Linked DNA regions of Drosophila melanogaster. The protein of the gene in region 2 interacts with the protein of the main gene of each other region in a pairwise test. Each region holds a gene or a part of one and is shown on either strand. Other genes may lie near its edges.

Region 1 (2,963 bases), on a different chromosome or scaffold from region 2:
GAAAACGTTGAAGGTGCTTCACAAGAGAGAAAGATTACTTGGAAAACCGTTTTAAGATCAGCGACAAGAGAGAGTGAGAGAGAGAGAGAGAGAGTGAGAGATCACTTGGGAACCCGTTTAAGGTGCGCTAAAAGCGAAAGAGAGACGACGTGATCTATTAACCGAGCTGTGAAGTGCCTTGCTTAATAACCCGGCAGTCGCCCACTTCGTAAAAGCACCTGCTGGGTTAGTGTGCCCGTCGGCTGCGTGGCATTTGCCTGGATTAGCGTGCCCAGCCTACTCGGAACAGTGTGACCAGCCGCCAGTGCTTGCGGGCGGGCGCTCTCAAATATTTAAATTTCAATTGCTTCGCTTTACTACTTATTTACTCATTAATATAATTATTCTTTATTTGTACTTCATTATTTAACTTAGTTATTTTCTACATTATTCATATATTTTATTTCTATTTATATATATTAAGTCCTTAATGTGCGCGGAATGCGCACACATTTCTTTTAAGAATGTAAAAAGTCAACTGCATACAATTATCAGATTGCCGAATGGCAACACTTTTTTATTTGTTATTTTAGCTCTATAAATAAATAATATTTTAAATAACCGTATCAGTAGACATTGCTGGTTAGCGGAATGAAGAAAATATCCCTCTTAGTATTAGCGAATCTGAGCTGTGGTTAGTTCATTGCAGCCCCAGATTCAGATATCAGCCTCTAATATGACAGGAAATTACAATACATTTCACAGCCCTAAGTAGTAGGGAATATGAAGAACACGACAGGCTGGCGACGTGGAGACTTCGAAATATTGTAAACAAGTATAAATACTTAGCCACCGGAAACGCGGAGTTCTCCCGGTGGATTGAAAAAGTAAACAACGTTGCTGCCTTAAAGCTTGGACACAGAAGGTTACTTCAAAATATACGATAAGCAACGCCAATTGCTTGAAGATAACATTACTCAGCGCTTGAACACGCTCAGATCCCTAATCCCTAGCCAGCATCAGGAAAATGAACTTAAGAATGCCTACAAGTTCTCAAATAAGAGAAAAGAAGAGGTGTATATGAGAAATATGAGGGAATGCTCTGCACCACCGGAGATACAAGGATATGATTATGATTACTATCTAGGCTATTGATCATAAAATTGTCCAATGAAATCAAATAAAAGGTCGCTTTTGGTTAACCTTTATCGAACACCTACTCTGCCAATATACCAAAAAATGGTTGAAAATTCTTGTTCGCACTCCGACCAACTGGCAAATGGGTATCTAGTCCTCTAGATAGTCGAGGAACTGGACTAGAGCTTGTTATATTGTTTAATTTAAAACCGCACTGGTTTTTGGCGTCGGATGTTTAAGGATTAAGTTTTCCCGGCAGCCGACGGACGCCCTTAAAAGTAGCAGCAACAGCACATGGACCACATGTCACCAACCCCATTATTTCCGACGAAAACTGGTGGCAGTCAGTTTTTCCGAGTACACAAGTCTATTTCCATGGGTATTACTGAAAATGAGGCTTATATCTATAAGTTATTAAGCGAGCATTAATATGACATGTTTGTATCGAATTGGTTTAAAAATGCATATGGCTTCAAGTCTTGTTTACCTAGCATTTGTTGCACATTTTTTTTTTAAGAGTGTAAAAAGTCAATCGCAAAGCTTGACGAATGGGTTTTCTACACTCCTTTATATATTATTTTAGGTTTATAAATTAACAATATTTAAAATATCCGTATCAGATGCATTTGTTGGTTAGCGGAATGAAGATAATAGCACTCTTAGTATTGGCGAATCTGGGCTTTGGTGAGTTCATTGCAGATCCAGATTGAGATATCAGCCTCTAATATGACAGGAAATTACAATATATTCCACAGTTCTAAGTGAATCCTTAGCAGAAATGGACAGGCTGGCGACGTGGAGGCTTCATAATATTTCAAACAAGTACAAATACCTATCCACCGGAAACCCCGAGTTCTACCAGTGGATAGAAAGGGTAAACACCGTTGCCGATGAATTCAATCACTACAATAAGCATCGGCAAAGACTTGAGGATCAAATTACTGAGCGCTTGATAACGATCAGATCCATAATTGCCATAAGAAACGCAAGCAAGAGATGTCTTCGATTCTACCTTAATCAGGAAGCTGAACTTGAAAGTGCCTACAAGTCCTCCAATGAAAGAAAACAACAGGTTCTCTACCAAAATAGTGTAAGATGCCCTCATGGATTGGATGACGGCAGGCTTGGTGACCCTTACTTTGTTGACTACTTATGATAAATATGTTTAACCAAATCAAATAAAATATCGCTTTTGATTGAAATACTTTGGAATAATTCAAGCTTAATTAATTATGGGCAAGCCTGTTGAATATTTGTTTGAATTTGTGTGATAAGGTTTTTTTAACCGCAGTTGCTTTGCATGGCTTAAGTATTTAAGCTTAATCTATTTAATATGCTTAATATGCATGTGCATATCCATCGATTTGCTTTGCCCTTTGTAGACTTTCCCATTTTAGCTATTCACTTCAGTTAGCATTTCGAACCGCCAATATGAAGTTTATGGCAATATGCCTATTGGCAAATATTGGCTACAGTAAGTACATAGTACATTTGTACAGATATCCCAAGACAGACACTCATTTAAGCAATATTTATGCAGTACTTGGCACTACAATTGGCCAGCTTAATGACGAAGCCACAATTCGACTAAAGGGACTTGTGGAGAAATATAAACTGCAAGCTCTTAGCAATCCCGAATTCTCTCAGTGGATTGGCAAACTTGAGAAAACTAGCAAGTCGAGAAGATTGGAAGACAAAATGAAGGTCAAAGCTGAATTTAAAAACTACGACGAACGTCGCTTGCAATTGGAAAATAAAATTAGGGAACGCATTACGGCGATCGATGACCTCATATCCGATATTATGGCCAAAGTCCCGATAAAGGATAAAGGGTGTCTCAAGTATTA
Region 2 (6,158 bases):
TCCTTTCACACTTACACGGCACCTTGGTTTTTGGGAAAAATTTCGGGTGTCCGCCGACGTATCTCGGTAGCAATTCTCGTTCGCGTACTAATTTGTGCGATAACTTGTCGCCGTAAGTATTCTAATTTCGTGTCCGCAGCTGCGGCGTCCGAAGTTTGTTTTTTCTTTTTTTTTGTTTGTTCCGCTTCTGCCGGCTGGCGAATATCAAATGAAACAAGTCGTTATCTTTCGTGTTTGCTTGGTGCTTGTTGTTTAGCTTCCAGACTTGTCTCTCTCGCTTTAGCTCTCTCTTAGGAGCCCCAACTAACACTAACAGCCGGGTGTTCGTCCCCTCTTTAACCACTTTTTCTCTTACTCTCCGTCTCTCACTGCGAAAGTGCAGCGTGAAGTGTTGATAAGGGGCACGGCGGGGGATACACTCTCCGGGATATTGCGCTCTCTATTGGGGCTCTCTTACACTCTCACTACGCGTTGGACTTTCAGTTCATTCCATGTGCAAAATCAGAATCTGATATCTGAAATACAAAAATGACAAACTATTGTGTTTAGTTTTGAAGTACTTATCCTAACATTGATTAATTTTGCATAGATATGCGATTCATATACTTACATTTTTATATGTTTGTACGCTATATTCAAATTTTAAATACCGACAATTTCCTGATTTTACTTTACGCTACGTGTTGTCTGAAAAGAACCAATAATCGATTGATTGTTATAGTTTGTAATAAATTCGCTTCGCAAGCTTCTTTATTTAGTGACCAATGAACAATTCCCAAAGGGAGCGTTTTACAAATTTGAATATCAAATCAAATGTACCCTATCAGCTAAAAGGAAACTTAAGACTCGTAGGCGAGGCCCTGTTTACGCCCTTTCTTCTCGTCCAGATCTATCATCAGCAACACCCTTTTTCGGCGGAGTAGCTGCCCTTTCATCTTTGCCATTTGGCTCCACGGTGCGTGATACACTGCGTTTATGGGGATTGTGCCAGGAGTACCTGCTTCGATTCACGGAGCCACGATCCCTCGGCATGTAGCGAGACTGAAAGCGTCGAGGACTCCGACTGCGTGAGCGGGAGCGACTGCGGGATCGGCTGCGTCGATAGCGGGATGCCGGCGATGGTGTGCGACGGGGCACAAATGGTGAAGGCGATCGGCGTTTCAAAATGGGCGATGGAGAACGCCGACGATGAAAGGAGCGCGAACGCCGAGTTCGGCGATTACGGTAGCGTCCAATCACAAAGCGATTTCCGTAACTGCGTGGCGAGGGGCTGCGCGAACGGGAGTAGGTACGTCGGCGACGCGACCGTGATCGGCTAATCGATCTGGACCTCGAGCCAGAACGCCGGCTCCTGAGCGACGAACGCGTGCTCCTTCCAAGCCGACGATTACGTGAGCGACTTCGCGAGCGGCTTCTACTCCTACTCCGGCTGCGGGAGCTGCTGCTCCGTCCTCCCTTGAGTGGCTCCGCTGGCGCTGCTAGACGCAGCATTCCCAGCTTGTCCATCTGCAGCGGTCGTTTCTTAATCTGAAAGGAGAGCTTGGGTGCCGGCTCCGGATGTTTCTTTTGCCCCAGAAACTTGGGCGCTGGTGGTGGCTGGGCGCCTCCAAAGCCAACAACGGAGGCCGCATGACGCGATGTGCTGGGTCCCACATTGTCAAAGCTTGACTTTCTAGATGAGACTGCTGTTTTTTTCATTGGTGGCGGGGGAGGTGGTGACTCTTTTCCTCCTTCTTTTAGATAGCTCTTGATCTTGGCCTTGCGTTCCTCATCGCTCCTGGTGCTGTTCATGAGCCTAAAAGAAACACAAACTGTGGCATTAACTGCGTATTGTAAAATATTCAACAGCATTGACAACAAAACCGCATTGTTCATCCCAGATTTGAAGGAACATCGTTTAGGATGCAATTGCAGTTCGGAAGTCAAGCTAAATAATTCCTGGTACATACTTGTTGTCTTGTCTATCCCAGTTGGTTAGGCAGGGAGAATCTCAAGAAAATGTATACTTATTGTGCAATAAGCCTCTTTAGCTGCAAAACTCACCTGAGGGCCTCCTGGAAGTCGATCTTCTTAAGCAATTCAATGGGATCCTCCGTTTCGGACTTGGTCCTGGACCTCCTTCGCTCCTTCTTGTCCTTTTTCTTCTTTCCCTTCTTCTTGGCCTTCTTGTGTTTGCTCGCCTCGCGCAAAAGCTTCCGCACACTCGACACGGTCTCGTCGTCGTCCAAACGGAACTCATTGGCCTTATGGGCATCAATGACGGCCAACTTTTCATCTCCCGATTGCTTTAGCTTGTGTTGGGCATAAAAGGGCTGACTAATGTTTGACTTGGGCTTACCAGCTAAAATTGGAAATGAGTTATCGGTTTGAATAGTGTTCATGAGGGAATAATAAACGGTGGATCAGTGCTTAGCTAGCTAGCTAGCAAAGCCCCCATGCACTGACCCCACCACATGTACTCACCCGAATCTTCGCATTCACTATCACTGGCACTCGATGAGGAGGACTCGTCCGAGGACTGGCCACCGGTCATGTTCGACGGCTCAGTGCTTATTCTACGCTTACCGTCTCCACTTCGATGCAGTGCGTCCAGGGACTGGCGTGCTTCTTCGTGCAGCGGCAACAGATTTAGGCAATCGCTATAGGCCTTGACGGCTTCGGCTATGCGATTCTCCTCTTCGTAGCTGCGACCCAGAGCCACCAGCGTTTCGCCCATGTATTTGCGCGCGTTCACGTGATACTTGTTCAGGTGCAGAGCCTTCTCAAAGTCCTGCAGCCCTTTAAGAAAGCTGCCGCGATTCGCGTAGAGGGCACCGCGGGCCACCAGCGCCTCAACATTGCGCGGATCAATGTTTAAGGCCTTGTTCAGGCACTGAAAGGCCTCGACCTGTTGGCCGTTCTTAAAGTGTTCGATGCCATCAGCCACGGAGCTGATCAGCGGCCAATCAATGAAGTTGGGTGTTGGGTGCGATAGGGTGTGCGAATGATGGAATGACAAACACTCTCAAGGCTTAAGGTCAGTATATAGACTTACCGGAAGGCCCACTGGGAGGCCTGCTTCTGTCGCAACTCCGCGGCGTTCTCCTCCTCCGGGAATCCCGCCCTTAAATATGACATCAGTGACAGATTCTCGTTTGGCTGCAGTCCGTTCATTTGGAACAGCAAATCGTAGTTGGGATTTTCAAACTCTAAGGCTTTGTTTAGCTCATCCTCGTAGTGAGACGCAGATGGATGATCCAGGTTATGTATTTTACTACAGAAGAAGCATTCGTTAAACACGATTGAAAATATGCCTTAAAAACGATGCTTTACCTATAATACTTGGGCAACTCCTTAAAGTCGCAGAGACCAAACTTTAAATCCGGCACCTTATTGAACATGCCGATCATGTTCAGAGAGAGCCGCTCGGTATCCGCGGATATGTTGTTTATCTCACAGCGCAAGATGTCATTCTGGACAAAGCTGCGCGGATTGCCCTGCTTGTCCAGGGGCAAGGGACCCCAGAAGTCCTGCAGGATCACGGCCTACGACGTAGAATAGATATGATTAGTATGCGAAATATGACGCAAATAAAGGTCTTGGCTGTTACCTTTATGGGAATGTCAGCCAAGTAGGCGTGTTTGGGCTCAGCAGTGCAGAGTGGCTTCACTATGAGCCGGTTGCCGCTGGCCAGCCGTGTCACCTGCGTGTAGATGATGTCGCCCTGCTTCAGTGCAGACAATCGGTGCGCCCATCCCTTGCGTTTGTCCTTCACATTGAGGAAGAACTCGAAGGGGGCCATCTGAGTCATGTATGTGTTGCCTGCAAAGAACATAGCACTGGAGTTATCCATTGACCACTCAAACTCATAGACCCTAAACCCACCTTGTGCCAGCAGGGAATCCTCCATAACATTGGCCACCAGCGTGCGATCATACAAATCGGTGGCCTTCCTGGCCAGAAACTGGTGCATCTTCAATCGCTTAGCCCGCTCCTGGAAGGTGAAGTACTTCTGCCGCTCCTGGTAGACCCCGTAGTTCACCTGGGTGAGTCCCATCAGCCGCAGGTCGTCCACGCCGCGCTCGTCGTCCCAGATCTTCTGGAGCGGCTGCCCGTGGTAGCCCAGGGCCTGGCCGATGTAATCGAAGTTCATCTTGGCAGCGCGCACCACTTTGCTTTACAACATTTAAAGATCAAGGTTTTTTAAAGGGCAAAGGGAACGGGATGCGGCAAAATCCACACTCAATTTAATTGGGCGAGAAAATGTCGGCACCGGTTTTGCGTCAAAATAAACGCAAATTAGATTTCCAGTCACTCGGGGCAAGTGAAGCAGCTCACTCTTTCGGTTTTCCTTAAACGCTACACAATTAATGGTCTTGTTATGAGTATAGCAGGCATTAACAAAAGGATTTCCTGATTGAATTTCTGCCAAAATGTGAAAAGTACGTGAAAATATTAATAGGCCCGTCTTTGCTAACGCTTATAATACCATACGGCGTCTGAAAAATGTAAAGAAAATGCAATCACACTACTATCGCTAATATCGAGACTTGGCAACTCTGCTGCTGTGGTGGTTGCACTCGCTAAGTGAAATGGCTGGCAACGCTAGCATGGATAAAAACTTAGCTAATTTAAATTTTAAGACGTTTGAATTTGTAATTAAATAAGTTTGTTTAATATAAGCTTAACTTTAATTTCAGCCATCAAGGTGCAGGTCACCGGCAAGGGAAAATGCAAATGGATGGAGATCCTGCGCAAGAACTCGAACAACAACGAGTACTCCCGCAGTCTGTTCTACACCAGCAAAGAGGTGTACGAGCATAGCGAGACGCCTCTGCCGGATTTTGAGCCGCGTGGCCTGGAACTTTCGGCTGGGGAGCACACGTTCATCTTCGAGGTGGCGCTGGGTCGCCAGCTACCTTCGAGTTTCAAGGGCAGCTATGGCGCCATCAAGTACAAGATGCGCGTGCTCATCCAGCGACCATGGACCTTCGACGAGCGCCACACGATTCCTTTCACCGTGGTGAAGAACATGCCGCTCCAACCGATGCAACGCAGCATACCCAGTTCGCTGGAGAAGCAGGTGACCAAGACGATCAGTTTGTTTGGCACTAGACCGATCACCCTGTTGGCCCTTCTGCCCGAAGATTTTGCGGTGCGCGGAGAGCCGCTTAGGATTTGCGCTACTGTGATCAACAACAGCACCACCGCTGTGGAGAAGCTGCGCTTTACCGTCCTGCAGTACGTGACCTACTACAGCCATGTACCACTGCGGGTGCAGAAGGTGGAGTGCATAGCGGTGGCCACCAAGGAGACGGGCTCGGTGCAGAAGAAGACCGAGCGGAGTTTTGCGCACGAGCTGCTCCTGCCCGATGGAGCCCAGCCGACGGATGAACAGATGAGCGGCGTCATCACCATTGTATACGAGCTGCGTGTGGAGGCGGTGCTGCGGGGATTCTTTAAGAACTTGATCCTTAATTTGCCCTTTAAGGTGTACTCGCAGGATCCATCGAATAGGCAGAGTTCGCTGCGTCCGCCGCCGCCGCCACGGCCTAACGATGGACCACCTGGTCCGGAATTGGGCTCCGGCAATCTGTTTGAGCCCGCCCTGCCGGTCTATCCCTCACTGGACTCTTCCATTGGCTCGCCCTCGCACTCATCGCAGTTTAGCGAGTGCAGCTCCATTAACTCGATAACCTCGGACTCCTCGGCGGCCACTCTGAGTCCCGCTGTGGGCGCTGGAACCGGTGGCATGGATATGTCCTACACTTCGGGCTCCCAGTCCTCGCAGTATGGTAGTCCCTCTGCCAGGACCAGCTTGCGCAGCTCCAATGTGCCCTACATGCCCTATTCGTCCAGTCCCCTTATGGTGCAGTCGTATCCGCCACCCCATCTGCCCGCCTACCCGCCGCCGGAGTCGCCGCAATACTCGCTCCTTGCCCTCACACCACCGCCGGCCGGAGTGGTCGCCGCCCCGCCAACAGGCGGTGCAGCAGCAGGAGGAGCTCCGGCCTATAGCCAACTGCCATCCACCTCGGCCTCAGCATCGTTCCTGCAGCCTCGCCAGGCGCCTGGAGCCCATGAGCTGCGTAAGTTGGGATATTCTACATTACAATTGTATCTATCTCTTGTATCTATTTTTTTAGCACCTTCATACGAAGAGCTCTTCGGCTTGGCCA

The links.
Region 1: the proteins of CG6621 (region 2) and CG31680 interact in a two-hybrid assay, tested with the Drosophila melanogaster proteins (one large-scale study listed by BioGRID).

What each region holds. Positions count from the first base shown.
Region 1 is NT_033779.5:20,638,393-20,641,355, forward strand, and holds CG31680 (uncharacterized protein), read left to right. Parts: upstream 1-1,728; 5' UTR 1,729-1,757; coding exon 1,758-1,800; intron 1,801-1,871; coding exon 1,872-2,272; 3' UTR 2,273-2,326; downstream 2,327-2,963. Other genes in the region: Sfp38D (seminal fluid protein 38D), read left to right, coding at 2,548-2,590, 2,657-2,963.
Region 2 is NT_033777.3:10,889,051-10,895,208, forward strand, and holds CG6621 (uncharacterized protein), read right to left. Parts: upstream 4,482-6,158; 5' UTR 4,133-4,481; coding exon 3,865-4,132; intron 3,802-3,864; coding exon 3,590-3,801; intron 3,525-3,589; coding exon 3,313-3,524; intron 3,254-3,312; coding exon 3,035-3,253; intron 2,931-3,034; coding exon 2,464-2,930; intron 2,342-2,463; coding exon 2,044-2,341; intron 1,962-2,043; coding exon 1,950-1,961; intron 1,796-1,949; coding exon 865-1,795; 3' UTR 718-864; downstream 1-717. Other genes in the region: leash, read left to right, coding at 4,680-6,068, 6,126-6,158.